Linked DNA regions of Saccharomyces cerevisiae S288C. The gene in region 4 interacts genetically with the main gene of each other region. Each region holds a gene or a part of one and is shown on either strand. Other genes may lie near its edges.

Evidence for each region.
Region 1: mutations in MCM22 (region 4) and MAD2 impair growth when combined (synthetic growth defect), as found in Saccharomyces cerevisiae (6 studies listed by BioGRID, with this or other methods).
Region 2: mutations in MCM22 (region 4) and RAD61 together harm fitness more than expected from each alone (negative genetic interaction), as found in Saccharomyces cerevisiae (5 studies listed by BioGRID, with this or other methods).
Region 3: mutations in MCM22 (region 4) and KAR3 together harm fitness more than expected from each alone (negative genetic interaction), as found in Saccharomyces cerevisiae (5 studies listed by BioGRID, with this or other methods).

What each region holds. Positions count from the first base shown.
Region 1 is NC_001142.9:383,985-391,121, forward strand, and holds MAD2 (spindle checkpoint protein MAD2), read left to right. Parts: upstream 1-3,672; coding exon 3,673-4,263; downstream 4,264-7,137. Other genes in the region: RNA-dependent ATPase HCA4, read left to right, coding at 1-2,165; Rab geranylgeranyltransferase BET4, read right to left, coding at 2,384-3,364, 3,452-3,454; VPS53 (Vps53p), read right to left, coding at 4,401-6,869. UniProt on the Saccharomyces cerevisiae protein: Central component of the spindle assembly checkpoint which is a feedback control that prevents cells with incompletely assembled spindles from leaving mitosis. Thought to be recruited to unattached kinetochores by MAD1.
Region 2 is NC_001136.10:471,239-479,278, forward strand, and holds RAD61 (Rad61p), read left to right. Parts: upstream 1-2,807; coding exon 2,808-4,751; downstream 4,752-8,040. Other genes in the region: 60S ribosomal protein uL4 RPL4B, read left to right, coding at 615-1,703; DNA replication protein PSF1, read left to right, coding at 1,919-2,545; HED1 (Hed1p), read left to right, coding at 6,559-7,047; DAD1 (Dad1p), read right to left, coding at 7,236-7,520; inositol polyphosphate kinase KCS1, read right to left, coding at 7,877-8,040. UniProt on the Saccharomyces cerevisiae protein: Involved in resistance to ionizing radiation.
Region 3 is NC_001148.4:815,234-823,621, reverse strand, and holds KAR3 (Kar3p), read left to right. Parts: upstream 1-5,698; coding exon 5,699-7,888; downstream 7,889-8,388. Other genes in the region: ASN1 (asparagine synthase (glutamine-hydrolyzing) 1), read right to left, coding at 1-1,002; ribosome biosynthesis protein NOC4, read left to right, coding at 2,199-3,857; rRNA-processing protein RRP15, read right to left, coding at 4,547-5,299; TAZ1 (lysophosphatidylcholine acyltransferase), read right to left, coding at 8,086-8,388. UniProt on the Saccharomyces cerevisiae protein: Minus end-directed microtubule (MT) motor involved in spindle midzone assembly, poleward transport of newly captured kinetochores along the lateral side of MTs, karyogamy (nuclear fusion) during mating, and with an essential function in meiosis I.
Region 4 is NC_001142.9:674,271-681,541, reverse strand, and holds MCM22 (Mcm22p), read left to right. Parts: upstream 1-4,763; coding exon 4,764-5,483; downstream 5,484-7,271. Other genes in the region: MET5 (sulfite reductase (NADPH) subunit beta), read left to right, coding at 1-2,585; TTI2 (Tti2p), read left to right, coding at 2,836-4,101; protein transporter TIM8, read right to left, coding at 4,308-4,571; SGM1 (Sgm1p), read left to right, coding at 5,690-7,271. UniProt on the Saccharomyces cerevisiae protein: Component of the kinetochore, a multiprotein complex that assembles on centromeric DNA and attaches chromosomes to spindle microtubules, mediating chromosome segregation and sister chromatid segregation during meiosis and mitosis.

The DNA.
Region 1 (7,137 bases), 290 kb from region 4:
ATCCCACATTAAAAGGTTTAAGAGAATCATCCTTTATAAAACTTACTGAGATCCAAGCCGATTCTATTCCCGTGTCCCTGCAAGGTCATGATGTATTGGCGGCCGCAAAGACAGGTTCCGGTAAGACATTAGCATTTTTAGTTCCAGTAATTGAAAAGCTATACCGCGAAAAATGGACCGAATTCGATGGGTTAGGTGCCCTTATCATATCTCCAACAAGAGAGTTGGCTATGCAAATATATGAGGTTTTGACGAAAATAGGTAGTCACACTTCATTTTCAGCTGGGTTAGTTATCGGTGGTAAAGATGTTAAATTCGAACTAGAAAGGATATCAAGGATTAACATTCTTATCGGTACACCTGGTCGTATTTTACAACATTTAGATCAAGCCGTAGGTCTAAATACTTCCAATTTGCAGATGCTTGTTCTTGACGAAGCTGATAGATGTTTAGACATGGGGTTTAAAAAAACTCTGGATGCCATCGTAAGCACATTGTCACCATCTAGACAAACACTTTTATTTTCAGCGACTCAATCACAATCTGTTGCAGACTTGGCTAGGCTTTCCTTGACAGATTATAAAACCGTTGGTACACATGATGTGATGGATGGGTCGGTTAACAAAGAAGCATCTACTCCAGAAACTTTGCAACAATTCTACATTGAAGTTCCTTTGGCAGATAAATTGGATATCCTTTTCAGTTTTATAAAATCACATTTAAAATGCAAAATGATCGTTTTCTTATCAAGTTCCAAACAAGTGCATTTTGTCTATGAGACATTTAGGAAGATGCAGCCTGGTATTTCTTTAATGCATTTACACGGTAGACAGAAACAACGTGCTAGGACAGAAACTTTGGACAAATTCAATCGTGCTCAACAGGTGTGTCTTTTTGCTACCGATGTCGTTGCTAGAGGTATTGACTTTCCTGCAGTCGATTGGGTTGTTCAAGTGGATTGTCCAGAGGACGTTGATACATATATCCACAGAGTCGGTAGATGTGCTCGTTACGGTAAAAAGGGTAAATCTTTAATCATGTTGACTCCACAAGAGCAGGAAGCGTTCCTAAAAAGACTTAACGCTAGAAAGATCGAACCAGGCAAACTTAATATAAAACAGTCAAAAAAGAAATCCATTAAACCACAATTGCAGTCATTATTATTCAAGGATCCAGAACTAAAATATCTAGGACAAAAGGCTTTTATATCGTACGTGAGATCTATATATGTGCAAAAGGACAAACAAGTTTTCAAATTCGATGAGTTACCAACAGAAGAATTCGCTTATTCTCTTGGTTTACCAGGGGCCCCAAAAATCAAAATGAAGGGTATGAAGACCATTGAGCAGGCCAAAGAAAGAAAGAATGCTCCAAGACAGCTAGCTTTCTTATCAAAAGCAAATGAAGATGGTGAAGTAATTGAAGATAAGTCGAAACAACCAAGAACAAAATATGATAAAATGTTTGAACGTAAAAATCAAACCATCTTAAGTGAACACTATTTGAATATAACGAAGGCTCAAGCACAAGAAGACGAGGATGACGATTTCATTTCTGTCAAGCGTAAAGATCATGAAATAAATGAAGCTGAGTTACCAGCTCTAACTCTTCCAACTTCAAGGCGAGCACAGAAGAAAGCGCTTTCAAAGAAGGCATCTCTGGCCTCCAAGGGTAACGCTAGCAAATTAATATTTGATGATGAAGGCGAAGCCCATCCAGTTTATGAACTTGAAGATGAAGAAGAATTTCATAAGAGAGGTGATGCGGAGGTACAAAAGACAGAATTTTTAACTAAAGAATCTGCAGTAATGGCAGACATTGACAATATTGATAAGCAGGTGGCTAAAGAAAAAAAACAAGAGAAGAAGAGAAAAAGACTAGAAGCCATGAGAAGGGAAATGGAGGCTGCTATGGAAGAAGAAATTTCTGGAGATGAAGAAGAAGGGAAGACAGTAGCATATTTAGGAACAGGAAACTTGAGCGATGATATGAGCGACGGTGATATGCCTGACTCGGAAGGCCACTTGAAAAAGAAAGCTAGAACTGTTGACTATTCCCACGGCCACAATCCATCCAATTCAGTTGATGATGACATTATTGAAGTGGAAGAACCACAAACTTTGGAGGATTTGGAATCTTTGACAGCTAAATTAATCCAGGGTTAAACCCTCCTGCATAGTCTAACCTATAGTATTTAGAACTTGTATACATCTATTCTCTACACTAATATACTTATTTCTTTGTTCAAATCATCGGTAATATTACAATAAAAGAAAAATATGCATATACTTTCGTGCATTGAAGGTGTCAAATGAAATCCCGCTTATAGTGAACAGGCTTCCATCATATATACATATATATATATGTTTATATATGTATATCATCACTTATGCTGCTCCAGGAGATGTAGGTATCTATTCTTTCTTAACGGATCCGCATCTATTAATTGGACCAAATATTGTTCCGAGCTTCTTTCCGTTAGAGCTTCCTTTTCTTCCAGAATATCTTCGAGAACTAATAAAATTTTCAAGCACCAAATATTTTGCTTCCCGGAAAATTCAATTTCGTCATTATTTATTAACAGAATGTTTTCTCTCAAGTCTTTCAACATTTTAAGGTACTCTTGTTCGTCCAGAGTTTTACAAACAATGTCGTTTTTAATGAACCACTTGATATAAAACCATACGGATTGGTCTTCGGCGTCGGTAAACATAGCGTTGATGATATAAGATATTTCAGTCCGAATATACTCCTTTTGATTCCCAACCTCTCCTTTCTGAAACATTCTGCTTATGATCTGTACTCTTTGGTGCCATGCAGAATAATTTGAAATGTTATTGTTAATCTTTATTGTTGTGTATTCAAACTCCTCCTTGTCAAGACTTTTATTAGTGATACTCTCTATGTTACCAACAACTATTCTGCGGTAATGCCATCCGTGGTAATTTCTTGCATCTTGTTCCAATAACTTATTCACGACAGCAAGTTCAGTTTGCCACACTTTAGGGGAACTCGTAGGATAATGTTTCAAGACCCAAAGTCTGTGATTCCATATCCAATAGACTTTGGGGTAATCCTTCAATAGCATCATTACAAAAACTAACTCTTTATCCCAGAAAGGTATTTCCAACTCAGAAGCCAAACTCGCTATAATATCCCTTCTGTAATTCCAAATAGCATTAAATTCCGGATTTTTCTCAAGAAGTTCTGATGTTTTCTTCAGAGCTTCAATTGAGTAAATTTTTTCATCTCTCATATTCAAAACATTTTCAGTCAAGCTTCTATAATCATATATTTTCTTTTCGTCTTGAACTCTCTTTTGTCTCAGTAATTCCTTGGTCCACTGTTTCCTTTTAATGCCATGCTGTTTAATGTGGCAAATATAAAAAATTGCTTGGTAGTCAGTAAAAAAAAGAATTCATAATGTAACGAACATTTGAAGTGCACATACCATTGCTGACCTACTGCTTTATAGTATAAATTCAGTATACTAGGTATATGTGGCTCAAAAATGTGGTTTTTTTCTTTTTTGCCTTTAATTTTTTTCAAATGTTTACGTATGGTTTATGATTTAACATTTCAAGAATAGAAATCGCCCCGAAGAATGATTGATGTTAAATACTCGTACAAGAGTATTGAAAACCACTTCAAAGGGGCCCAATAGCACATTTAATGTCACAATCAATATCACTAAAGGGTTCAACAAGGACAGTTACAGAATTTTTCGAGTACAGCATTAATTCCATTTTGTACCAAAGAGGCGTATACCCAGCAGAAGATTTCGTAACGGTGAAAAAGTACGATCTTACGTTACTAAAGACACATGATGATGAACTGAAAGATTACATTCGGAAAATTCTTCTACAAGTTCACAGGTGGCTTCTTGGTGGAAAATGCAATCAATTAGTATTATGTATTGTAGACAAGGATGAGGGAGAGGTGGTGGAAAGATGGTCCTTCAATGTGCAACACATTTCTGGCAATAGCAACGGGCAGGATGATGTTGTAGATTTAAATACAACACAATCACAAATCAGAGCTTTAATCAGGCAAATCACCTCAAGCGTTACCTTTCTGCCCGAACTAACAAAAGAAGGTGGGTACACATTCACAGTACTTGCATATACAGACGCGGATGCTAAAGTTCCGTTAGAATGGGCCGACTCCAATAGTAAAGAGATACCTGATGGTGAAGTAGTTCAATTCAAAACATTCTCTACCAACGATCATAAAGTTGGTGCGCAGGTCAGCTATAAATATTAATAGAATTCAAGTCAAAAAAAAAAAAAAAGACGGAAGTCCAAAAAAATCTCGTTTTCGATGTTTAGAAAGAATATAGATTTATGAACTATATTATACTATACTACGTACTTCCTCTGTAAACCACTTCATGCGTTTTTTCAAGTGCCTCTGTTAAAGAACCTTGAGTGAGAAACGAAGTCTTTGACACTCAAACTTTGCTTTTTTTGTTCTTCTTTTTGTTGTTGTATTTGAGGGGTGGATACTATCCTCTTCATAACAGGTGGTGATATTTTCAGATCTTGCCTCACAAATTTTGACCAATTCGGATCTTGCATCCTTGCCAAGTTGTTTTCAAATTGACCCAAAAGTACCTTGTCCCACTTGAATATGAAAAGATCGCGATTACTGTCTGGCCTGCTGCCCTCGTCAGTGTCGTCTGTTTCTAAGTTGTAGGCACTCCATAGCTTTTTCCATAATGCCAGGTCCCATGGAATGCCCTTTAAAGCGAGGACAAAAGACCATACCGCTGAATCAGGGTTATTATTGGTCAATTTGGAGTAGGTCTCGTAATAGTCATCAGCGGAATCCAGAGGAGCCATTAGAAGTTTAATAAACTTCAGCAGCTGGTCTATATTATTGTCTGCATGTCTTTTCACCCTCTTATAAGAGGTATTTTCTCGCAAGTCAGAATCGTTACTTACACTTTCTGGTAAAGTGTGAAAAATCTCCTTCAGCAATTCTAAATCAAGGAGAAGCTGCTCGCCAATGTTGACAACAGTTCTGGTTTCAAATTTCCTTTTGCTGCCCGCCAGGGAAAAGGGTGGAACGGGCTGCAGAAGGCGGATGGTATTGCTTACAAAATTTGTAGTGATGATATCAATCACCTTATCCAAGAAATTCCACTTATAAACATCTCTATTGAATTGCGACAAAATAAATGCCAAAGTCGAAGGTTGCTCTTGCTGTTGTTTAATAGAGGCATCTGTTAATGCGGGCATTTTAAGTACGGATTTGAGGGTTACCATGTACCTGCTATAATCTTCTATCGCAGCATTTGACCAATCATTGTTGATAAACTCTCTCCATACAAAATTTAGATCTAAGGGTATGACACGGTTTAATAGAAAAGAAGTTCCTTTTGCTAGTAAATCGTCGTATATATTTTTCGTTTTCGTAAAACTGTTTGCCAGCTTTTCACGATTACCGCTGAATTCAGATAATTTATCCTCCAATTGATCTATAGTCGTGGCACAATAATCTGCAGTATTGATCAATAAAACGGTATACTTGGCAGCTTCTAGCTTATCCTGGACTTCAATATTGTCGGGCAGCAGTAAAGGAAGAAGAATTTTTTGTGAGTAAGTTTGAAGCCATCTACTGAAAAAATTTGCCAATGAAGTCAATATGCTATCATTGGCATTATTATCAATGAGCTCTAAGGTCTGAGTCAGTACGGAACGATATGTCCTGAAAAGGTCTGCACTCGAGGGTAACACGAGAGATTCTGTTTCATTAGATGGGTACTTCGGCTCACTCATATAAGAAAGAAATTTCTTTTCCATCATTTGGTTTTGGTGAGACACCCATAAAGTCAAATAAGGTTCGAAGCAGGAACTTAGTTTTGGTTCCTTAATTTTTTTTGAAAATCGTACGTCGATGTATTTTTCGAAATCTAGCGTCGATTGTAATGCTGTCATGAATAGATCAATGGAAGGGTTCTTGTCTTTGAATTCCCTTTTCAGAAGTGTCTGAAGGTCCTTGTGTGTAATGTGATAAAAAGTGGTGGTCAATCTGACTGCCATTTCCCAGTCTTTTAAGAAATAGTCTGCGAACTTTGAATTGAAGTTATTAAGAATTTTTTTGAAGTAAATGTATCTTCTCGATAAATTTTCTAGGGATCCGGCTTCATCGTCGACCCTAAATATCTCTTTCATTTCGAAGAGAAGTTTGTCCAAACACCAATCTATCATCTGGGCTCTCGTACTTGTATCGCAGTCGAGTAGCTCGCAGGCACCTTCGCGCAATTCCATAGTGAGTGCTGTATCATGCTCTGAGATATTGCCGCCGGAAAAGAGCGCATTGTAGTTTTGTTTAATTTTGGACAAAGTGTCTCCTTTCAGTCTTGAAATGGAGCTCAACAAATAGTTTATCTCGTCCAATGATTTGTAAGAGATGAATGTGTTTTCAGCAAGCGAACACATTATCTTATAAGGGGACACCATTTTTTTGAATGAGCCCTGTGAGAGTAATTCATTGCATTGTATGTAACTGTCTGTCAATATCTTTAAATTTTGGAAAAGAGTCAAAGAGTGGGTGAGGTTTTTCTTGGCAATGTCCAGGTACGAGATACCTTCTGTCAGATTCGATATCGTCAACTCGGTGGAGGCTGAGACATCTTGAGTTTCTTTGAAATCTTGGAAAACTTTCCTCAGAGAAGCCTCTATTTCAGCGGAATTTTTAGGGTGTTCCTTCAATTCATTCTCTTCTTTGAGAATATCCTCTTGCAATTGCTTTTTGTAGCTTCTGGTAATACTGATCAGTTCATCTATGTTGTTCAGGGATTCTTTTGAAAAAAGTATATTGGTAATATCTTCCAGCGGGTCATAATCTACCGTACCTTCCAGCATTGTCCTTCTGAGAAAACAAAAATGGAAGATGTTGTGAAAATGCAGTAAGTGACAATAAGCTAGCGACTTTTCAATGATCGCAGATTAAGTATATATACACTTTAGGTCTCCTTCTCTTCTTTACTAGCTACGAAAAAACAAAGAAAAAAAAAACAAAATAGAGGGAAAAAAGATATACGTATAAAAATATGCTCCAGGGGAGGTTCGAACTCTCGACCTTCAGATTATGAGACTGACGCTCTTCCTACTGAGCTACTGAAGCACTATT
Region 2 (8,040 bases), on a different chromosome or scaffold from region 4:
TGAGTAAACTTATTTTTGTCTTAAGAAGTGCATGCAGCGACCTCTCCCAATTACCAAATTGTAATTTTTTATTATTCTTTTTTTCTGCATAGTTCATTCGACAGCTTGGTTGAAAAGAGTGATAAAAATTTTCTGTTTTATGAAAAGTTTTCATAACTCTATTAAGGGTTGCACTATAAGAACATTTCGCAATAAAGCAACCCTTATCCGGACCCTACATGTTCCGTAAGTCCTGCCTTATTTATCGTAACGGTATTCATCTTACAGGAATTTTTGAATATAGATAACGTTAGTTTTGATAGATTGGAACAAATGGGAAAATAACAATTTAGAAGCGCTTTCCTCAGCGTATCTGAATTATAAAACAACTGCGCATATTGCTAAGAACTGCACTGAAGGCATGAATTGTCTATTCCGTTAGAAATATAATTATTTACGAAAGCATCGCGCAGACGCAATTTTTTTAACATTTTTTTTTTTTCAAGTACTCTGGAAAAGTTTTCATGAAGATCATGAATACGTTACACTACTATTATTATTGAAAATAATATTTCTTTCCTATCAGCAATCGCTTACATATTCATAGTCATTTACTAGGGTATATACCAATAATAATGTCCCGTCCACAAGTTACTGTTCACTCTTTGACTGGTGAAGCTACTGCCAATGCCTTGCCATTGCCAGCTGTCTTCTCCGCTCCTATCCGTCCTGACATTGTCCACACTGTTTTCACCTCTGTGAACAAGAACAAGAGACAAGCTTACGCTGTTTCTGAAAAGGCTGGTCACCAAACCTCCGCTGAATCCTGGGGTACCGGTCGTGCCGTCGCTCGTATTCCAAGAGTTGGTGGTGGTGGTACCGGTAGATCCGGTCAAGGTGCCTTCGGTAACATGTGTCGTGGTGGTCGTATGTTTGCTCCAACTAAGACCTGGAGAAAGTGGAACGTTAAGGTTAACCACAACGAAAAGCGTTACGCCACTGCTTCTGCTATTGCTGCTACTGCTGTTGCTTCTTTGGTCTTGGCCAGAGGTCACAGAGTCGAAAAGATTCCAGAAATCCCATTGGTTGTCTCCACTGACTTGGAATCTATTCAAAAGACCAAGGAAGCTGTTGCTGCTTTGAAGGCTGTTGGTGCTCACTCCGACTTGTTGAAGGTCTTGAAGTCCAAGAAATTGAGAGCCGGTAAGGGTAAGTACAGAAACAGAAGATGGACTCAAAGAAGAGGTCCATTAGTTGTCTACGCTGAAGACAACGGTATCGTCAAGGCCTTGAGAAACGTTCCAGGTGTTGAAACTGCCAACGTTGCTTCTTTGAACTTGTTGCAATTGGCTCCAGGTGCTCACTTGGGTAGATTCGTTATCTGGACCGAAGCTGCTTTCACCAAGTTGGACCAAGTCTGGGGTTCCGAAACCGTTGCCTCCTCCAAGGTCGGTTACACTTTGCCATCCCACATCATCTCCACTTCTGATGTCACCAGAATTATCAACTCTTCTGAAATCCAATCTGCTATCAGACCAGCTGGCCAAGCTACTCAAAAGCGTACTCACGTTTTGAAGAAGAACCCATTGAAGAACAAGCAAGTTTTGTTGAGATTGAACCCTTACGCCAAGGTCTTTGCTGCTGAAAAGCTAGGTTCCAAGAAGGCTGAAAAGACTGGTACCAAGCCAGCTGCTGTTTTCGCCGAAACCTTGAAGCATGACTAGAATTTATAGTATAGATCTTTAACTTTAATTTAAATATCTTTGTTACTAGTCTTTAATCAAACCTTTTTGTTTTCTTTAAAGTCGAAACGTCAGATTTGCTCAAAACCTTCTTGTCGTTACAACGCGAAAATTGTAATTTAAAATAACTAACGAAGAAAGCTGAAAAATAGATGTGAGGGAAAATCGTTTATAAACGGCCATGCTCACAGAGAATCATGTATGGAGATTTAGGTAATAAATTAGTATTAGAAGCTAAAAGAACAAAACAGCTGTACGCAAGAAGTAATCAAGATGTTAATTTACCCATGTATCATGAAGATATAATACGAAATATTCTGAAAGAAGTTTCAAATTTACGTAAAAATACGGAATATCTTAAAGAACAGCAGCAACTAGGAATGCTAGATGATAAGGTGGCTAAATGCCAGTATTTCGTTACCTTGTTATGTATGGAAAGGAACAAGAGATGTCTCTTAGCATACCAAAGGTTGAGAACAGACATACTAGATTCTATGGCTTGGAATAATAATGGTCTGGACTTGATGAGTAGCATTACGTTTAGCCAACAAGACACAAATAACCTTTCTCATCAAGAGCAGGAATATTTGAAAGAATACTGCGATTTAATTACTGATTTAAAAAGTGGTGACTTGGTCGATATTGATTTATCCGGCTCTTTAGTGCCTCCGAGCGATGTATTTATTGATGTTAGAGTGCTCAAAGATGCTGGTGAGATTCAAACTGAATACGGCGTGTTTAACCTTATTAAAGACTCCCAGTTTTTCGTAAGGCAGTCTGATGTAGAGCGTTTGATTCAACAAGGTTATTTGCAGAAGATATGATAAAATGCTTTCAAGCTGGTCTTCATGATATATAATCCTTTATAAAGCAAGATACATACCTCCATTCTAATTTACTCCCTTCTATGTTTACTTCAGCCCTTTTTAATAGATTTCGTAAGTTTTGGTTGAGGAGGCTTTCTGAGCTTTACGCGACTTTATTGATGACGAAGCTTCACTTTATTATAATAATGAAAAACTGCGCAGAGAAACTATCGCAAAACGAAACCATCTTCTTACCCTAAAGCATCCTGTTTCTGAAAAAATGAGAGCATATGGAAAGAGGGGCCCAGTTCTCAGAACTCCTTTTAGATCTAATAAAGGCTTGCCATCTTCTTCCGATGTTGAATTTAGTGATGACGATGTAAACTCCGTGATTCCTGATGTAAGTTCTACCATTTCGAGCAGTATTGCAGACCACCCGATAGAGGGATTATTGGACGAGCCTAGAAAGGCTCAGGACAGCTCGTCGTCATTTGATGGTGCAAATGAGAAGCCCTCTTCACAACTGGACTCAAAAAGGAATGACCAAAACGTCAAAATTATCACTAGCAGTGATACCTCAATGGCATTTATGAAAGATGAAAAGTTAAGTGCCTTTAATTTCCTTGATGGTTCAAAGGCATCTAAGAGAAAAAGAAGAAGAACTTACCAAAAGCATGATGCGAACATAACGTCTTCAATTGAACCAGACGTACAAGATGAAGACAGCATTACAATGCACAATGAATTTGAATCAATAAGGAAAATATACAATGACATCAATGAATTCATATTGAAGCTACCGAGAGCTGACGATGATATACTGAATAAAATGCTTGAAAATGAGATGAAGATGGACGACTCTATAGAGAATAATAGCATACGCACATCCAAAGACAAAAAATATGGCAAATTTAGAACAATATTAATAAACAAAAATAAAGAAAATGAAATAATGGGAGAAGAGGTAGATCAGAAAGCTAACACCTTGTCCCTAAATAACGCTGACAACAGTAATGCTGAAAAAGAAGGATTAACTTCAACAAATCACTACAACGAATTAAAAAATATGGGAGATACAATAAAATACCAGGATGATATTGAGTTTCTTCTGTCCAATTCTAAAAGTAATGACAATACTACGGTACCAATCAATGAATACTTTAAAAAACTTTTAAATTTATCCCTAATGATTATTAATGACGAAGAATTTTTTCAATATGCGAAAAGATATTTCAAAAAGGAAATAATTAAGCTTAGTTTTGCGCAATTTAGATCGGATTTTCCTGAATTAATCTTATTACAGGGTTATTTACTACATAAAGTTAGTGAATCACAATCCGATTTCCCGCCAAGCTTTGACAATTTCTCTATCGAATTAAGTAAAGATGATGGTAAAATACGGACAAAAAAGAATAAGCATATTAAAAAACTCTCACACCTAAATTTCGAAGACTTTCTTCGGAAGACTCAATTCAAAACGGGACTTTATTATTCATTATCACTCTGGGAAATGCATGGTAATTTATCGTTAGATATAATCAAGAGAATCTCCATCCTTGCTTCAAATAAGGACTTATTCAGTCGGCACGTTAAGACTTTTATTCCTCTTTTAGAAAAATTAATAACCGCTTCCGAATTTTGCCACATGTATATTGAACAACCTGAAATGTTCGATTCACTGATAAGCAACTTGAATAATCAGTTTAAGGATATGCTTGATGATGACTCGTTGATTAAAATCCTAATCTTGTTAACAAACATGGAAGTACATAACTATACGCTATGGAAAGAGGCAGATATGATATTTCAAAGTTCAATGAACACAATTTTGGAAAGCATACATCCATTGACAGACGCGAAAGTTGATAACATACTCTTGCATTTAGGGCTCTGCCTCAATATTTGCAGTAGAGAAAATAGTCGTTTAAAACTTGACGGCAAATTATGGTATGATATGAAAACTATATTTGTTAAAATGATCCGTGACGGTTCTGACACTGAAAATAGGTTAGTACAGGGCCTGTTTTACTTAAATTTTTCATTTTTAATTAAACAACGGAAAGAAAATAGTAATTTAGACCCAGGGGAGCTCAATTTGTTACTAGTAGAGCTGGAAGCATTTAAATCGGAAACATCTCAATTTAATGAAGGTATTTCAAATAAAATCGAAATAGCGTTAAATTACCTAAAATCAATATACACGAGTGAAAGAATTACAATATAAAGAAAGCATACATTGAACATAGCCTGGCTTCATCTTCACCCTGCTGGCAACTATTGAAAAATTGTCCAGAATTTATTATGTTATCCTTAAATTAATGAATGCCATGCACTTGCTTAAATTTTGACATCGCTTTCAGTGCATTGAAGCTACCAGGATCTTTGATGAGCCTTCTAGCGTATTTTTTTGTATGCCTTATGGCGCTTTTAATATGTTCATCTACAATTTCTTTAAAATGTCAATGGTAGCTTACTTTTTAAGAGTTATACTCCTGACAATTTTTTTTCACGACATAAGTTTGGTGGAAAATAAATGCAGTATTATTTAATTATTTAATTAATTTCCTTGACTGCACAATTCATCAGGAGCGTTATACAAATAAAAGAAATCATACTGTTTCATATTAAACACGAATAAGAAATTCAGGTTGAATTACTTGGTGTGATTATTTATCATACGCATAATATCAAAATAACTAATCATAAAAAAATATGAGCAGGATCTCCGCACCTTTTAAAAAAGGTTGAAAGGGCTTAAAAAACTGAAAGACTAAAACCTTTTTTTCGAGGCATAGGAAGCCTAGAGTACTTCGGGTAGACGATATAACAATGCAATAAAAATAGTATATTAATAAACATACGAAAAAAGGTTAATATATTCATTAATAATGTACTGATGGTAATTAATATACCGCAGAGTCTTGAAACTCGGCGGGTAAAAATTCTATATCCCATAAGGTCCATCAGGTGACTTTTTGTGATACTGTGTTATTGTTACTTTAAATTGGTTAATTATTCAATCAATTTCCAGTGATACAGTAGAAAACAAAGTCAAAGAATCGCAGTACCCGCTGGTCACGCCAAAAAAATAAAGCTTAATGTTCTTTTAGTCAACATATTCACTCAAAGATTGCATGATCACCATCAGAATGTGTGAGTAGGTTAGGCTGAACGGCAGTAGGAGCAATTACGTATGTTAGTAAATGGAAGGAGACCAGCATTATGGTTTATCTTATTTGGTCTTCCGTACACAAATAGTAGTGAATGTATGGTAAACATGCATGCGATGACTTAACTAAGGATTTACTGGTGTTGGATCAAATTTAATCTCTGCATGTATAGGCTATTCAATAATCATGAGGCGTTAAAGGATAGTTTACTTATCATTTTTCCTTCTTGAAGCATTTTCCCAGAGCTGATAGATATATTGAAGTAGTACTTATATACCTTTCAACTGATGCATGTGAATGCCTGCTTGGAACATCGGGAATAAGAATTATAGTAACAATACCAATTTCTCCAGCGGATTTGTCTATTTTCTTGGTACTTCATGCAAGGTGCATCCTTTTTCTCTTGAAATTCATTCTGAATGGCCATAACTGCCAATGTTCACCATTCCTAAAGACGACGTGTTTATCACTCCTAGTTGCTTGGAAGTTAGACAACATGAGGAATAATAACCTCAAGAGATTAAAAAATGCAAGTAACTATATTACATATTTATTATGCACACTTTGCCTTGCCACTTGTGTAATAGACCTGGGTTCTTGCCGAGGTGATATGCTCTTTAATAAAAGATCACCTCAATTCAAGACTAAAAATGGCGAGGTATAAATCTGCGTCGCTAACATGTACAATATTTTAATGTATACTCTCGCATATTTATATTTTCGTTTTTCACGGCTTTAATTAGCGTACGTGGTTTCTGATTTTTGCTTGAGTAATGCACTATTTATTAAGATAGCCGCCCAGGTTAAATTCTTGAATTACAACTACATGTCAGAGACGAACGAAAGAGAGAAATCAAGACGATGCAACAAAGATCAAATAGGAGAAGCTGCTCCTATATACCACTCGGGGTACATAATAATGCCGAAAAGAGCTTGTGCACCGAAGTTGCTCCAGCAAGAAAGAACAAAAGGTCTATTACGACTTCTCCCATAGTCAACATCAACGTTGTAGAAAGAAGACTGTTTAATTTGGAATTGGAAAAACAACAACTTCGTGCCAAAAATCTGTCTGAGAACACAGGTGGCGGAAGCCCCAATGGGGGTGCTTATCTGGACGCCAAAAAAGGAGTAAGAGAACAAGATCAATACCAAGGAGGTCCCTCGAAAGAGCTTGACAGGCTACAACCACCACCTTCAATGAAGAAAAGCCCTCCAAGGAAGAAGAAGAGCCTAAAGGACTTGATATATGAAACGAACAAGACATTCTATCAGGTGGATTCTAACAAGGTTAAATATAAGGTAGGTCTATCCAAGAAACAGCTATTACCATCCAAAACGGTAGACAACTAAGTTCAAAGAGGAGAACGTTTGAAAAAGAGTTCGGTGGCCCTCCACTTTTTTCAACGTGCAAAAGTTGTCCACAACTTACTTATCATTAGGCTAAAATTACAATTTATATCTTACGTATCCTTTATCTAATTTGCGACTGTAAACATAAATTTAGGATAATATTAGGAGAGACAGAGGGAACCGCAACTTTACTTCGTTTTCGATTGAGATAAAGTAGGTTGCTCGTCGATGGGCGCTTCGTCTGATAAACTTTCCAACCCATCATAAAGTGTTTTCCACAAATCAGAAACTGACTGGAATTCTCTTCCCACAGCTATCGAGCTCTCCAATGATATATTGAGACCATTCAGACCATTCAAGATTGAATTCATAGTCTCATTGATCTCCTGCAATACTATATTCCTCTGCTCGATGAAGTATTTGTCAGTGGTTGATATCAACTTTTCTTCATCATTGGATGTACTAGCCATCATATGTACATATATCCTCACACGTCCGAGCTCTTCATCAGTCCTATTCCTACGCTAATTACTACCTCCTCTTGTTAAAGGTGACTGTTTATTCCCTTTGTTATTTTCGCGGCCTTGACTTTTACCCGGAGGTGGCCCTTTCCGCTCAATGGTTCTAGTGATCGCCTATAACCGTGTAGTCATATTCATACACGTACAAATTCGTTTGTCTTTTCATATATATAGTTATATATGCTATGCTCGTTTGTGTATTTATTGGATTATGCAATCAAAATAATGATAGTTACGAATAGATAAATGCATTTACGGACTGAAATAAGCGCAGCTAAAAGAATATTCATTAGTTCTATCCTTTCTTTTCAATCACTAACTTGAGCATCGTCATTGTATCTTGGTTCAGCGTCGAAAATAAGCTCGTATTTTCTCCATTTTTGTCTTAGTTTACTATTTGGATCATTATACATTTCTTCGTCTTCTTTGTCAAATTCATCTAACCAATCCCACTTACTGTTGAAGTTGATTT
Region 3 (8,388 bases), on a different chromosome or scaffold from region 4:
ATGGTAGATCACGTCGTCCAAAGCATCCAAACCTTCTTGTAATGTAAAGGTGTGTTCATGATGAATAGAGCCGATGAATTTGGCAACCTTTCTTGCGGCTTGCAAATCTGGAGCATTTGGTAAACCGATGGCAAAGGAATGGAGACTTGTCCAACCAGCAGTGTGTAGCTTACCGTCATCGTCGATACCTGCTAGATGTCTTGCCTTACTATCGTAAGTTGATGGTTCGACATCGTTAGTGGCCTTTGCAGTTTCACGGGCAGCAATGGAAGCGATTAAAGAGGAGTCCAAACCACCCGACAATAGAACACCGTATGGGACTTCGGCCATTAATCTCTTTCTAACGGCTTTTTCTAAGGAGTGTCTAATTGCCATGTAATCTATTGGGGTGGAAGGAATGCGTTTTTCGTCCAGCCAATCTGGTGTGAAGTAACGGGTGATCTTGTCAGTCTTAGAATCGTATACGTGGCCCGGTGGGAATGCAGTGATAGTGTCACAGTCGTCAGTCAAACATTTTAGTTCGGATGCAAAATAAACGGTCTTTGGAGAAGCGGAAGAGCGTCCCATATATAATGTCGTAATACCGATTGGGTCTCTGGCTGCCACAATACGATCTTGTTTAGCGTCGTAAAGAGTCCAAGCAAACATACCATCCAAGTACTTAGGAGCGTCGATATCGTGCTTTAAGTACATTGGGATGATAGGCTCACAGTCACTCAGTGTTCCAAACTCGTAGTCTGCGCATTCTTCTCTTAATTGAATGTGGTTGTAGATTTCACCGTTAACACATAGCATGTACTCTCCGTCTGAAGAAGTAATTGGTTGAGCACCGGATTCCACACCGACAATGGCTAGTCTTTCATGAACAAATATAGTGGAGTTCTTGATAGCATTACCGGACCAATCTGGACCACGGTGTCTGATTCTTTTTGATAGTTGTAGAGCCTTTGGCTTATATCTATGCACGTCTTCGTGCCTGAAAGCGGCGAAAATACCACACATCTTAAGTTACGTCCGATTTATATCCTTAGCGTAAAGCAAGTTATACTTTTTCTTATTTTATTATGTAAAGGTAAGAAGAGTATGCGATCAGGGTCCAAACAGAATCTGTCTCCTAGTGGCGTTCACTATAGGGTTATATATGCGTATCTATAAATGCGCATAAATTCAAGAACGAACTATTTGTCATCTCGAGTGGGCAGCAAATTTTCAGTTTACAGAATGAGTCAAATGTTACATGAGTTAAGGCTCTTTTCCTTGTGCTCTCTCTCTCTGTCTGAGCCTGCCAAATGATAACAGTCATAGGCCCTGTACCTAATTTGCCGTCCACGGCAGCAGTACTGCTGCCGTGTGATTGGTGGATAGATAGTGCCAGCGATAAGAAACGGTAGTTGATGCCCGAAGGTGCTTTCCAGCGCAGAAAGACAGACCCCAGGCGTATTTGCGCTCACGTTGCACGAACACGGGCGGCATTCGTGATGACAATAGATTTAATTTAGATATGCACTGGTTTCCACAGAGACCAATCGACAGTCTTCCATGCAAGGTCACTTATTGTTAACGGCAAGTTTCCCTGGATGTCCGCTTTAAAACTGTTTCGGCACGGTTTAAAGGACACAAGTTTTGACTAGTCTACAATTTAAGAACATATAAAAAGCTACTTGTGTACAGATGAGATGACTACTCCCAAGTCAAAAACAACAAAAGAATGAAAGAAAAAAGAATCAGAATTTTATAAAAGCGTCCTTGTCATTCTTAAGAATGTAACAAGATCAATGGGTTGCGCAGGAACCGCTATCTCCATTAAAACCTCAGATCGCTCCGAGAAGAATTGTTCGATTTGAAACGCAAATAATATCATCGTATTCTTTTAAAAACTTGGAAGGTCATTGGTTTCTTTAAATGAAACCTCCAAAGAAAATCTAACGCGTCTTGGTAAAATATATGTACCGAGTGTTTCGCTTTTTATACCTGTTAAATGAAAATCGAAAAAAAAGAAAAAGAAAAAAGTTTTTCAGCACTTCTCTACGGGTAATCCTCGTATTTGAAGGTTTAGGGCTATTCTTGAAATTTTTCACTAAAATTTTCCAACTGAGAAAAAAAAAAGTGTATTACGGTTTTGATGAGATGAGATGAGATGTAATTATCATCCTCTATTGCCATGAAGAGAGATCTATTAAAAAGAAACGTCAAAGAATATGGTATTGCTTATATCAGAAATTAAAGATATTGCCAAGAGGCTGACTGCTGCGGGTGACAGAAAGCAGTACAACTCCATTATCAAGTTAATCAATGAACTAGTGATTCCAGAAAATGTTACTCAATTGGAAGAAGATGAGACAGAAAAAAATTTGAGATTTCTGGTTATGTCGCTATTCCAGATATTTAGAAAGCTGTTTTCCCGCGGCGACTTGACCCTTCCTTCGTCCAAAAAGAGCACATTAGAGAAGGAACAGTTTGTTAATTGGTGTAGAAAGGTGTATGAAGCGTTCAAGACGAAGCTGTTAGCTATCATTTCGGACATACCTTTCGAAACATCACTTGGGTTAGATTCGCTTGATGTCTATCTTCAACTTGCAGAGCTGGAATCAACTCATTTTGCATCTGAAAAGGGCGCACCATTTTTCCCCAATAAAACATTCAGAAAGTTAATCATCGCCCTATGGTCCTCGAACATGGGTGAAATAGAGGATGTCAAAAGCTCGGGTGCGTCTGAAAATTTAATCATAGTAGAATTCACGGAAAAATATTATACGAAATTTGCAGATATTCAATACTACTTTCAATCAGAATTTAACCAACTATTAGAGGATCCAGCCTACCAGGACTTGCTTTTGAAAAACGTTGGTAAATGGTTAGCTTTAGTAAATCATGACAAACATTGCTCTAGTGTTGATGCAGATTTAGAGATCTTTGTACCAAATCCCCCACAAGCCATAGAGAACGAGTCCAAATTCAAGTCCAATTTCGAGAAAAATTGGTTATCCCTTTTAAACGGCCAATTGTCTTTACAGCAGTATAAGTCTATTCTGTTAATTTTGCATAAGAGAATAATACCTCATTTCCACACTCCAACTAAACTAATGGATTTCCTTACTGATTCCTACAATTTGCAAAGCTCTAATAAAAACGCCGGTGTTGTTCCGATCTTGGCTCTGAATGGCCTTTTTGAATTGATGAAAAGATTCAACTTGGAATATCCAAATTTTTATATGAAACTTTATCAAATTATAAATCCAGACTTAATGCATGTTAAATACAGAGCAAGATTTTTCAGGTTAATGGACGTATTTTTGTCATCAACACATTTATCCGCCCATTTAGTAGCATCTTTCATCAAAAAGCTAGCCAGACTCACCCTAGAATCACCACCCTCTGCTATTGTCACCGTGATTCCCTTCATCTATAATTTAATCAGGAAACATCCGAATTGTATGATTATGCTGCACAACCCAGCCTTCATTTCCAACCCATTCCAGACACCTGACCAAGTGGCGAACTTGAAAACTCTGAAAGAAAACTATGTAGATCCCTTCGATGTTCATGAATCGGACCCTGAGTTAACTCATGCACTGGATTCCTCTCTGTGGGAGCTGGCGTCATTGATGGAACATTATCATCCTAATGTAGCCACGTTGGCGAAGATATTTGCTCAACCATTTAAGAAGCTAAGTTATAACATGGAAGATTTCTTAGACTGGAACTATGATTCTTTGCTCAATGCAGAATCTTCAAGAAAGTTGAAGACACTTCCTACGTTAGAATTTGAGGCTTTCACAAACGTTTTTGATAATGAAGACGGCGATAGCGAAGCGTCATCCCAAGGTAACGTCTACTTGCCTGGGGTAGCATGGTGAAAGCGAAGATGAACAACGAAGTTTTAAAAGTGTGTATATATACATTTATATCAACAGAGTCATCGATTTCCCTTGTTTGAGATGTAAAAAAAAAAAAAAATAGAAAATAGTAAGTCCCTGTTATCAATTTTGCCTAGGAAAAAAACCTGGGTCAAAAATAAATGGTCTCTAGCGGGATCGAACCGCTGATCCCCGCGTTATTAGCACGGTGCCTTAACCAACTGGGCCAAGAGACCATTCTATTGTTGAAGATTGTTTAATTTAGATAAACTTTCATAATGTTGAGAATTGCTTATTGCGATATATAAAGTTGAACCAAAGATCAATTTCTTTTTATGTATTGTAGAGAATTACAATTTGAAAAAGAGCTAAGGGAAATTGCTATATTCTAAAAGAAGTGCACAAGTACATTACCTTGAATTTTTATATTTATTCATGATATATTAATATTAATATATCGATGGTGAAGGACACCACACCTGTATTTCTTTGATTGAAAACAATTTTGTAACATTGGCTGCAAAAGTTTTTGCAATTGATATGAAACTATATGATAATATAGAATGCAAACAAAATTCAATTGCAAGGAGGAGGGAAGATATAGGGCCCCTTTCTCGCTTGACATAGACTAAATAATATACAGTTTTTATTTCTTTATTTTTTTTCTTCTTTTGACATGAACATGTTGATTATTCATTGTCGCTTCCTGCGGCAGCTTTAACTAAATCCAAAAATTTTTCTTTGGAAACTTCAGTGATCAATTCTTTCTTTTCTTCTTTATTCTTAATTTCGCTTAAATTTTCGGATACTTCCTTTTCTGTCTTGACTTGAGTTGCTAAAATGGCGTTAAATAATTTCACGGCACCTTTTTGAGCTATCTTTCTGAGCGCTGTCTCCTTCTCAAGGACTTTTCTAATATTTTCTGACCTGTCTTCTCCGGAAGCAATTGGAATAATATCCGTCTTTCTGGCTTTACCTAATAACTTTTTTTTTTCTGCCAACAATGCTTTTTTGGCCTTGTATTCTAGCTTTTCTGACTCACTTTGCTTCAGCACCTTTTTGTTTCTAGCCATGATGGGGTCCTTCCTGTCGTATGCTTTCAGATGTGATGATAAAATAGCATTTACTGCAGCAGAAAATCCAGTAGAACCATCATCATGTTTGCTGTTTTTCGATTTTTTCTTTCTTGGGAAGTCGTCGTCCTCTTCTTCTTCATCATCATCTTCTTCAGCATCACTTTGTTCGTTATCTATAATTTTAGATGATTCATCGCTAGAGCTATTCTGCTCGTCTTCTTCGGCTTCATCACCTTCCATTATTGTATCTTTTTCCGGCTCATTACTTAACTCTTGGTTGCCACTATTCCTTTTTTCACGCCCAAATTCTGCATTCTTTCTGGTTCTTTTCTTATCCTTAGTGTCTACTCTGTGCTTGGAGCCCATGATCAATTATGTACTGATTTTCCTTCGGCTTCTCTATCGCTTTATTCATAGCATCTGTTTATTACCTTTCCTTATATCTTATGGGCATCGAATCCTAGATTTTTTTCTTTCAAAATTTTCCAATAAGAGGGTAATGGAGATACACCAAAATGAATCTCAAACAAAATCAAAACAAACACTGTTTACAATTTGATGCGCCTCGAATCAAAATATGATGATGAGTATTACAGCTAAAAAAATTATCGAATATTATATAAGCATTAAAGCTATCAATTTTTCCGCTCTTTGTGTTTCTTATTATTCTATTTGAATATACCAGAACAACTATCCGGAGTCTTTGTTTAAAAAAGGTAGATTTTGAAATAAAGGACTTAGAGAAATTCTGGCAACTATTAAACTATGGAATCACTTCCACGTACTCCCACAAAAGGCAGATCTACGCAGCATCTCTCGACACCATCGCCGAAGAATGATATTTTAGCTATGAATGGCCACAAAAGAAGAAATACAACAACTCCACCGCCTAAGCACACTCTTCTGAAGCCGCAACGTACGGATATTCATAGACACTCATTAGCTAGTCAGAGTCGCATATCCATGTCACCTAATCGCGAGCTTTTAAAGAATTATAAAGGTACAGCAAATTTGATTTATGGAAACCAGAAAAGCAACTCCGGTGTAACTTCCTTTTATAAAGAAAATGTTAATGAACTCAATAGAACACAAGCAATCTTATTTGAGAAAAAGGCAACACTAGATTTACTCAAAGATGAACTAACAGAAACGAAAGAGAAAATCAATGCCGTTAATCTCAAATTTGAAACCCTTCGTGAAGAAAAGATAAAAATTGAACAGCAACTGAATTTGAAAAACAATGAACTTATCTCGATTAAAGAAGAATTTTTGTCAAAGAAGCAGTTCATGAATGAAGGACATGAAATACATTTAAAGCAGCTAGCGGCATCTAATAAAAAAGAGCTGAAACAAATGGAAAATGAATACAAAACAAAAATTGAGAAATTGAAATTTATGAAGATTAAACAGTTTGAAAATGAAAGAGCGTCGCTTTTAGATAAAATAGAAGAGGTAAGAAATAAAATCACCATGAACCCTTCCACTTTACAGGAAATGTTGAACGATGTTGAACAAAAGCATATGCTTGAAAAAGAAGAATGGCTTACAGAGTACCAATCGCAGTGGAAAAAGGATATAGAGCTGAATAATAAACATATGCAAGAAATCGAAAGCATAAAAAAGGAAATCGAAAATACATTAAAACCTGAGTTGGCAGAAAAAAAGAAGCTCTTAACAGAAAAGCGTAACGCGTATGAAGCTATCAAAGTAAAAGTTAAAGAAAAGGAAGAGGAAACTACAAGGCTGAGAGATGAGGTGGCATTAAAACAGAAAACTAATTTAGAAACTTTGGAAAAGATCAAAGAACTTGAGGAATATATAAAAGACACTGAACTGGGTATGAAGGAGTTGAATGAAATTCTGATTAAAGAGGAAACGGTTAGACGCACATTGCATAATGAGTTACAAGAGTTAAGAGGAAATATACGAGTTTATTGTAGGATTCGTCCAGCTCTAAAAAATTTGGAAAATTCTGATACTAGCCTTATTAATGTTAATGAATTTGATGACAATAGTGGTGTTCAATCTATGGAAGTGACGAAAATACAAAACACAGCGCAAGTGCATGAATTCAAATTTGATAAAATATTTGATCAACAGGATACAAATGTGGATGTTTTTAAAGAAGTTGGTCAGTTAGTGCAAAGTTCATTAGATGGATATAATGTTTGTATCTTCGCATACGGACAAACAGGATCTGGGAAAACTTTCACGATGTTAAATCCAGGTGATGGTATCATTCCGTCCACAATATCTCATATATTTAACTGGATCAATAAATTAAAGACAAAAGGATGGGATTATAAAGTTAACTGCGAATTCATTGAGATCTACAACGAGAACATCGTAGACTTATTGAGAAGTGATAATAATAATAAAGAAGACACAAGCATTGGCTTAAAGCACGAAATACGTCATGATCAGGAAACTAAGACTACCACGATAACGAATGTTACGAGTTGCAAGCTTGAGTCGGAAGAAATGGTGGAAATAATCCTGAAAAAAGCAAATAAATTAAGATCCACCGCTAGCACAGCATCAAATGAGCATTCCTCCCGTTCACACAGTATTTTCATAATTCATTTGTCTGGATCAAATGCAAAAACTGGAGCACACTCGTATGGCACACTAAATCTTGTTGATTTGGCCGGTTCCGAAAGAATAAATGTCTCTCAAGTTGTAGGGGATAGATTAAGAGAAACACAAAATATAAATAAATCTTTAAGTTGCTTAGGTGACGTTATTCATGCTTTAGGTCAGCCTGATAGTACCAAAAGACATATACCGTTCAGGAACTCAAAACTGACATACCTACTGCAATATTCACTCACTGGGGATTCGAAAACATTAATGTTTGTAAACATTTCACCAAGCTCCTCTCATATTAATGAGACTCTCAATTCGTTAAGATTTGCGTCTAAAGTGAATTCTACCAGATTGGTTAGTAGAAAATGAGGTCAAGGCCTTTTCTGGTCTTTTTCACTCCTTTGACAAATGACAGAGACTGTCCATACATTCATCACATGTAACTATATTATATATGAAACTCATTTTAATGCGCACAGATAAAAAGCAAAGTAAGTAATGAATATTTGTTATGTAAAAATGACCTCATACATGCTAGTATTTACACGAATTTAATTGCTTAAATTTCAATCATCCTTACCCTTTGGTTTACCCTCTGGAGGCAGAAACTTTTGCATCCTCCTTATTGCCCAATTTTCGCCAATGACTTTAACATCTGGGTCCGATTTACCTTCCGTGGTGTTGAACCGCTTCCACCATGAGGGGGATTTGAACCTAGGGTCTTCGCGTGGTAATTTGCGAACTTCATTTCTAATTTCAGCAACATGGGCTCTCAGTTCAGCGGCTAATCTGCTTCTTAAATCTTGCGCCTCTTTACCATATTTCAATTCGTCAGAGAGGTCGTTAGGATTTTTGGGATCATAGTATTT
Region 4 (7,271 bases):
AAGTCTTAAAGGAAACCAAAAACGCCGTTGAATCTGGTTACTGGCCATTGTATAGGTTTAATCCTGTTTATGACGATCCATCAACAGATAAGGAGGCATTTAGCTTGGATTCTTCGGTTATCAGAAAACAATTACAGGACTTCTTAGACCGTGAGAATAAGCTTACCCTATTAACCAGAAAAGATCCATCTTTGTCAAGAAATCTAAAGCAATCTGCTGGTGATGCGTTGACAAGGAAACAAGAAAAAAGAAGCAAGGCTGCCTTCGATCAGTTATTGGAGGGTTTGTCCGGCCCACCGCTACACGTCTATTATGCTTCTGACGGTGGTAATGCTGCAAACTTGGCAAAGAGACTAGCAGCAAGGGCATCTGCAAGAGGTTTAAAGGCTACTGTTCTGTCCATGGATGACATTATTTTGGAAGAATTACCTGGTGAAGAGAATGTAGTTTTCATTACTTCCACGGCTGGGCAAGGTGAATTCCCCCAAGACGGTAAGTCTTTCTGGGAAGCTCTGAAAAATGACACCGACTTGGATTTAGCTAGTTTGAATGTTGCTGTTTTTGGTCTCGGTGATTCTGAGTATTGGCCACGTAAAGAAGATAAACATTATTTTAACAAGCCTTCACAGGATTTATTTAAGCGCTTGGAATTATTGAGTGCCAAAGCCCTAATTCCCTTGGGACTGGGTGATGATCAAGATGCTGATGGTTTCCAAACTGCTTATTCTGAGTGGGAACCTAAATTATGGGAAGCTCTTGGTGTTTCCGGCGCTGCTGTTGATGATGAGCCAAAACCTGTTACAAACGAGGATATTAAGAGAGAATCTAATTTCTTGAGAGGTACTATCAGTGAGAACTTAAAGGATACTTCTTCAGGTGGTGTTACTCACGCTAATGAACAATTAATGAAATTTCACGGTATTTACACCCAAGACGATCGTGACATTAGAGAAATACGTAAGTCACAAGGCTTAGAGCCATACTATATGTTTATGGCAAGAGCTCGTTTACCAGGTGGTAAGACCACTCCACAACAATGGCTTGCTCTGGATCACTTATCTGATACTTCAGGCAATGGTACCCTGAAATTAACAACAAGGGCAACCTTCCAGATTCATGGTGTGCTAAAGAAGAACTTGAAACACACATTGAGAGGAATGAATGCAGTTCTTATGGATACATTAGCTGCTGCAGGTGACGTGAACAGAAATGTCATGGTTTCTGCTCTACCAACCAATGCCAAGGTTCACCAACAAATCGCTGATATGGGAAAATTGATTTCTGATCATTTCTTACCAAAGACTACGGCCTACCACGAAGTTTGGCTGGAGGGCCCAGAAGAACAGGACGATGATCCATCCTGGCCATCTATTTTTGAAAACAGAAAAGATGGTCCAAGAAAAAAGAAGACTCTAGTTAGCGGTAACGCTTTGGTCGATATTGAACCAATTTACGGTCCAACTTATCTGCCAAGAAAGTTTAAATTCAACATCGCCGTTCCTCCATATAACGATGTGGATGTATTATCTATCGATGTCGGTTTAGTTGCTATAGTTAACCCAGAAACTCAAATCGTGGAGGGTTATAATGTTTTTGTTGGTGGTGGTATGGGTACCACTCATAACAACAAGAAAACTTACCCAAGATTAGGGTCATGCTTAGGTTTTGTTAAAACTGAAGACATTATTCCACCACTTGAAGGTATCGTTATTGTCCAAAGAGATCACGGTGACCGTAAAGACCGTAAGCATGCTCGTTTAAAGTATACTGTAGATGATATGGGTGTCGAAGGCTTCAAGCAAAAAGTGGAGGAATACTGGGGTAAGAAATTCGAGCCTGAGAGACCATTTGAGTTTAAATCTAATATTGATTACTTTGGATGGATTAAAGATGAAACTGGGTTAAACCACTTTACCGCATTTATTGAAAATGGTAGGGTTGAAGATACACCAGATTTGCCTCAAAAGACAGGTATTAGAAAGGTTGCTGAATACATGCTTAAGACTAATTCTGGTCATTTCAGATTGACTGGTAATCAACATTTGGTTATCTCTAATATTACAGATGAACATGTTGCTGGAATAAAATCTATTTTAAAGACCTATAAATTGGATAACACCGATTTCAGCGGTTTGAGATTATCTTCATCTTCCTGTGTTGGTTTGCCAACATGTGGTTTAGCGTTTGCCGAATCTGAACGTTTCCTACCTGACATTATTACTCAGTTGGAAGATTGTTTAGAAGAGTATGGTTTACGCCATGATTCCATTATTATGAGAATGACTGGTTGCCCTAACGGTTGTTCTCGTCCATGGCTAGGTGAATTAGCTCTTGTTGGTAAAGCTCCACATACTTATAACTTGATGCTTGGTGGTGGTTACCTCGGCCAAAGGCTAAACAAATTGTATAAGGCCAATGTGAAGGATGAGGAAATTGTCGACTACATCAAACCATTGTTTAAAAGGTATGCTTTAGAAAGAGAAGAAGGGGAACACTTTGGTGATTTCTGTATAAGAGTAGGTATCATTAAACCAACCACCGAGGGTAAATACTTCCATGAAGATGTGTCTGAAGATGCCTATTAATGATAGCATATGACATAGTAGGACATACTATTGGGTTTTCTTCCCACATTTATTTATTTTTTTCGCAATTGAATATAACTTTTTATTTTATAGAAACATATTTATTTGTATAATCTTGTATATTAACAGTTAAGACTCATTATTGTTATCCTTCGGCTAGTTCGGTTTTTCAATAGCAGATGAGAAACGAAAACTATGAAGAATGAAAACGAGGTGAAGAATAAAATCATATAACAAAATATTGAAAAGAATGACGGCCGTAACTGATATCATCGATGAATTGAATGATTCGAGTCTTTCTTCTACAAGGCTTCGAGAGTTGTGTCTCCAGTTACGAAAGAAGACAGATACTGGATGTGCAATTACGGTGTCCGATGAGGTCAACCTTATTGAATCTCTCTCATATCACTCCATATCTCCAGGAGTAGACATACAAATCAACACAGATGTTTTGCAGACTATAGATTACTACTTTCAGCGTAACAAAAGTGAACATGACGAAATTATGTGCGTCCTTATTTCTAAGTTACAGCCACTACTTTTAAAACGCAAAAGCAACTTCGAACTCAAAGAGCAACGTAATCTTGGTCTCAAACCCACGCTTGGAATGTCTTTGAAAGAAGATAACCTAATGCAGGCGTGGGTAAGTCAGGGTGGCTTGAAAGGCATTCCGTTATTCTACGTAATTCTGTTACATTTGAAAAGGAGAGACATATCTACGAATCTTTCTTGGATTATTCCAGGAATTCTAAACATACTAGATGATACCACTGATATAAGAAGAATTAAACTTCGTGGTGTTCTGCTCCTACAGACGCTATTAAATCATACCTTTATGAACGAAACCAATGACTCAAAATGGATACAGTTCTCTAGTACTGGTTTATTTCCACTGTTCGAAAAGACGCTAATCAATATGTGCTATTTTCTCCCTCCCTCATACAATGCTGATGAAACAATAGCCATATGGCGGGTCGTTTTCCCAACGATACAGTCGTTATATAAAGTAGAATTTTTGGACAATTACACAAAGTATCAATATCACCTGGAAAAGTTCATGTCAGAGATAATCTTGCAAAACATAATTCCTAGGGCTAGCCTTGCATACGAAAATTTGACGTTATACGCATTGGAATGCACAATGAACATACTGAGACTTCAAAGAGAAGGGTCTGTTGTACATCTCCAGAGGCTGATTTTTGTTTTAGGTGAATATATTGTACGAAATCCTTTTTACACAACTTTTCCAAAACTTATTTCAAAAACTCTTTCAGTGGTAAGTACTCTCATAAAGGTTTGCCCGAATGAAAGAATAGTGGCTCACAGATTCGACATTTTATCATTAATTCTAGTTACATACGATAAGTGTTCGCAAGAGGATGCGTTGAACGAATCAATACTACAACAATGTAAGGAAACGATAAGCTGGTTGCTGAATTGTGACTGCGCTATGGGTGAACAGTTATCGACTCTATCTAAGCAACCGCGGTTTCAGTTACTTTTTGAGTTCTCATAGGAAACAGACACAGACACAGACAAATGCATATACATATATATATATATATAACTAGACAGTATATAAACAAAAAGAGTTATTTGCCCTTTATGCTGAAGAATCCCTTTTAAAGAAACCTTGGACATATATTAAAATATTCATTTGCTTATTTACAGATATATTAAGGTAAAGAGAATAATGACTCGGAGAGATAAATCGGTTTCATATTAACGGGTGTTTTGCAACCCGTTCACAATCCTGATATTAGTATCCAAAAACCGATTCACACAGTTAGACAAACATTGCTCTTCTTGCGAACTTAAATTAGAATCATTGACAGACTCAACACATTTTTTGAAGCATATATTAGTGAATTGATGGATTGACATCTGGACTTTTTGTTTGGAGTTCTCTCCCTCCAAGAAAGTAGCAATTTCCTTTTTGGAAGTGTCATCAAGGGAGGCCAAATCAGACGTTGATAGAGAAGACATTCTTTGTTGTTTGTAAATTTGTTTTCCTTTTTACCTCTTCTTCAATACTTTCATATAAATGAATGTTTCCATCAATTTTTACGTTAGTTAATAACTAACCGTTCGCTTTGATATGCAGCGTAACAACAAACAAGACGCATATGACGACAAAGAGGGACAAGAGCAAACGGCAGAAAGTCTCACAAAGGAAACATGGATGTTGAAAAGGATGTCCTGGATGTCTACATAAAGAACCTGGAGAACCAGATCGGAAACAAACGATATTTCTTGAAGCAAGCTCAAGGTGCCATCGATGAGATCACGAAGAGATCTCTGGATACAGAGGGTAAACCGGTCAATTCTGAGGTCTTTACAGAGTTATTAAGAAAACCCATGTTCTTCTCAGAGAGAGCTGATCCTATTGGTTTCAGTTTGACATCGAATTTTTTGTCTTTGAGAGCCCAAAGTTCCAGTGAATGGCTCTCGCTTATGAATGATCAATCAGTTGATCAAAAGGCCATGTTATTGTTACAGAATAATATTAATAGTGACTTGAAAGAGCTGCTACGAAAACTGCAGCATCAAATGACCATTATGGACAGTAAGAAGCAAGATCACGCCCATATTAGAACACGAAAAGCCAGAAATAAAGAGCTTTGGGACTCACTGGCGGACTTTCTCAAGGGTTATCTAGTACCGAATTTGGATGATAATGATGAATCAATAGATAGCTTAACGAACGAAGTCATGCTGTTAATGAAAAGACTAATTGAGCATGATTTGAATCTGACATTAAACGATTTTTCATCTAAAACGATACCAATATACAGATTATTACTTAGGGCTAATATAATAACAGTAATTGAGGGCTCTACAAATCCAGGGACTAAATACATCAAACTAATAGATTTCAATGAGACCAGTCTAACTTAAGTAATACTTCGTAGTCAAAGTGTGCTTCGTAGTGGTGTGAGGATGTTATAAAGCGCCAAAATTTAGAAGATCATAATTTGGCAGTAACCGTAGATTATTCACCAAAAAGCTCTTGACTTCCTCTTTTAATAGACTGTCGTTAAAAGGTCCTTAGTCCAGAATAGTATATAAAAAGTGTTGTATGGTAGTGGTATACCAATTTTGCTATGAGTAAAAAATTATCGTTGGAAGAGAGACTCTCCTTGGCAACTAAGAAAGGAAGAAAGAAAAATAAAAGGTCAACGTCAAATTTGTCGTCTCCATCGCCTGTGGTGCTGTCAAACAATGAACAAGAAAGTGCTCGTACATCCATTGATGATGCGGCTGCCGGTGTGGTGTCAATTGACAATGCTGAAAACATAGATGATCCTGCGGTACGATCAGAAAGCACTGTGGAAGGCGATACAGGTAAGGCAGATTCAATCGCTGTCGATGACGTGGTGCATCCCGATCACAATAGGACTGATTGCTTCGACGACACTATGGTATCACTGCCTACATGGCTACCTAAAAATTACACTGAATTTACTGTTGAAGAATTAGTCAAAGAAATTAGTCCTGAATATTTAAGATTAAACAAACAGATTGATGACCTAACTAACGAACTAAACAGAAAATCACAAATCGAAACCACGGATTCTAGTTTTTTCAAATTGATTAAAGAGAAGGACGACTTGATAGATCAGTTGAGAAAAGAAGGAGCTAAATTAGCGGAAACTGAGCTGAGGCAATCAAATCAAATCAAAGCTTTAAGAACAAAAGTGAAAGACTTAGAGTATGAGGTATCTGAACTAAACGATAGTTCTGCTCAGAGTGTCGAAAACTATAATGAGCTGCAATCATTGTATCACAACATACAAGGACAACTGGCTGAAGCTACAAATAAATTAAAGGATGCAGATAAACAAAAAGAGTCACTTGAAACATTAGAGAAAAATATAAAAGAAAAAGATGATTTGATAACAATTTTACAGCAATCTTTAGATAATATGAGAACATTGCTTGAAAAAGAAAAAAGTGAATTTCAAACGGAAAAGAAAGCACTACAAGAAGCAACAGTTGATCAAGTTACCACTCTAGAGACTAAACTAGAACAACTAAGAATAGAATTAGATAGCTCTACTCAAAATTTAGACGCTAAATCAAATAGAGATTTTGTCGATGACCAACAAAGTTATGAAGAAAAACAACACGCATCTTTCCAATACAATCGGCTCAAAGAACAGCTTGAGTCATCAAAGGCCAACTGGGATAGTATTGAATACGCTTTGAACACTAAAATTGTGAACTTGGAAAACCGCTTTGAATCTACAATGAAAGAAAAAAATGATATTGAAGAAAAATATCAAACTGCCTTACGTTCATCTGAAACATTAGGTAAGCAATTAGAAAAAGAAAAAGAGAATCATTCGAAGGCAGTTTTGGAAGTGAAAGACTTGGAGAGACGGGCGGAGACATTGAAGTCATCATTGCAAAGTATAAGTGATGATTATAATCTACTGAAGAAGAAGTACGAAATTCAAAGGTCTCAGTTGGAACAAAAAGAGAACGAACTAAAACCACATCAAGAAAACAGCAATGAGAAAATTATAGATAAAATACCTGTAGAATTAACAGATAGTTTAAACTCCATGGAGGGAAATATAGAAGACGAATGGACTTTACCTCAAGAAAATTCTATGCTGTCATTATCAATGTCAAAACTTGGCGAATTAGAAAGCGATCCGTCTCTAAAACCCATTTACAATG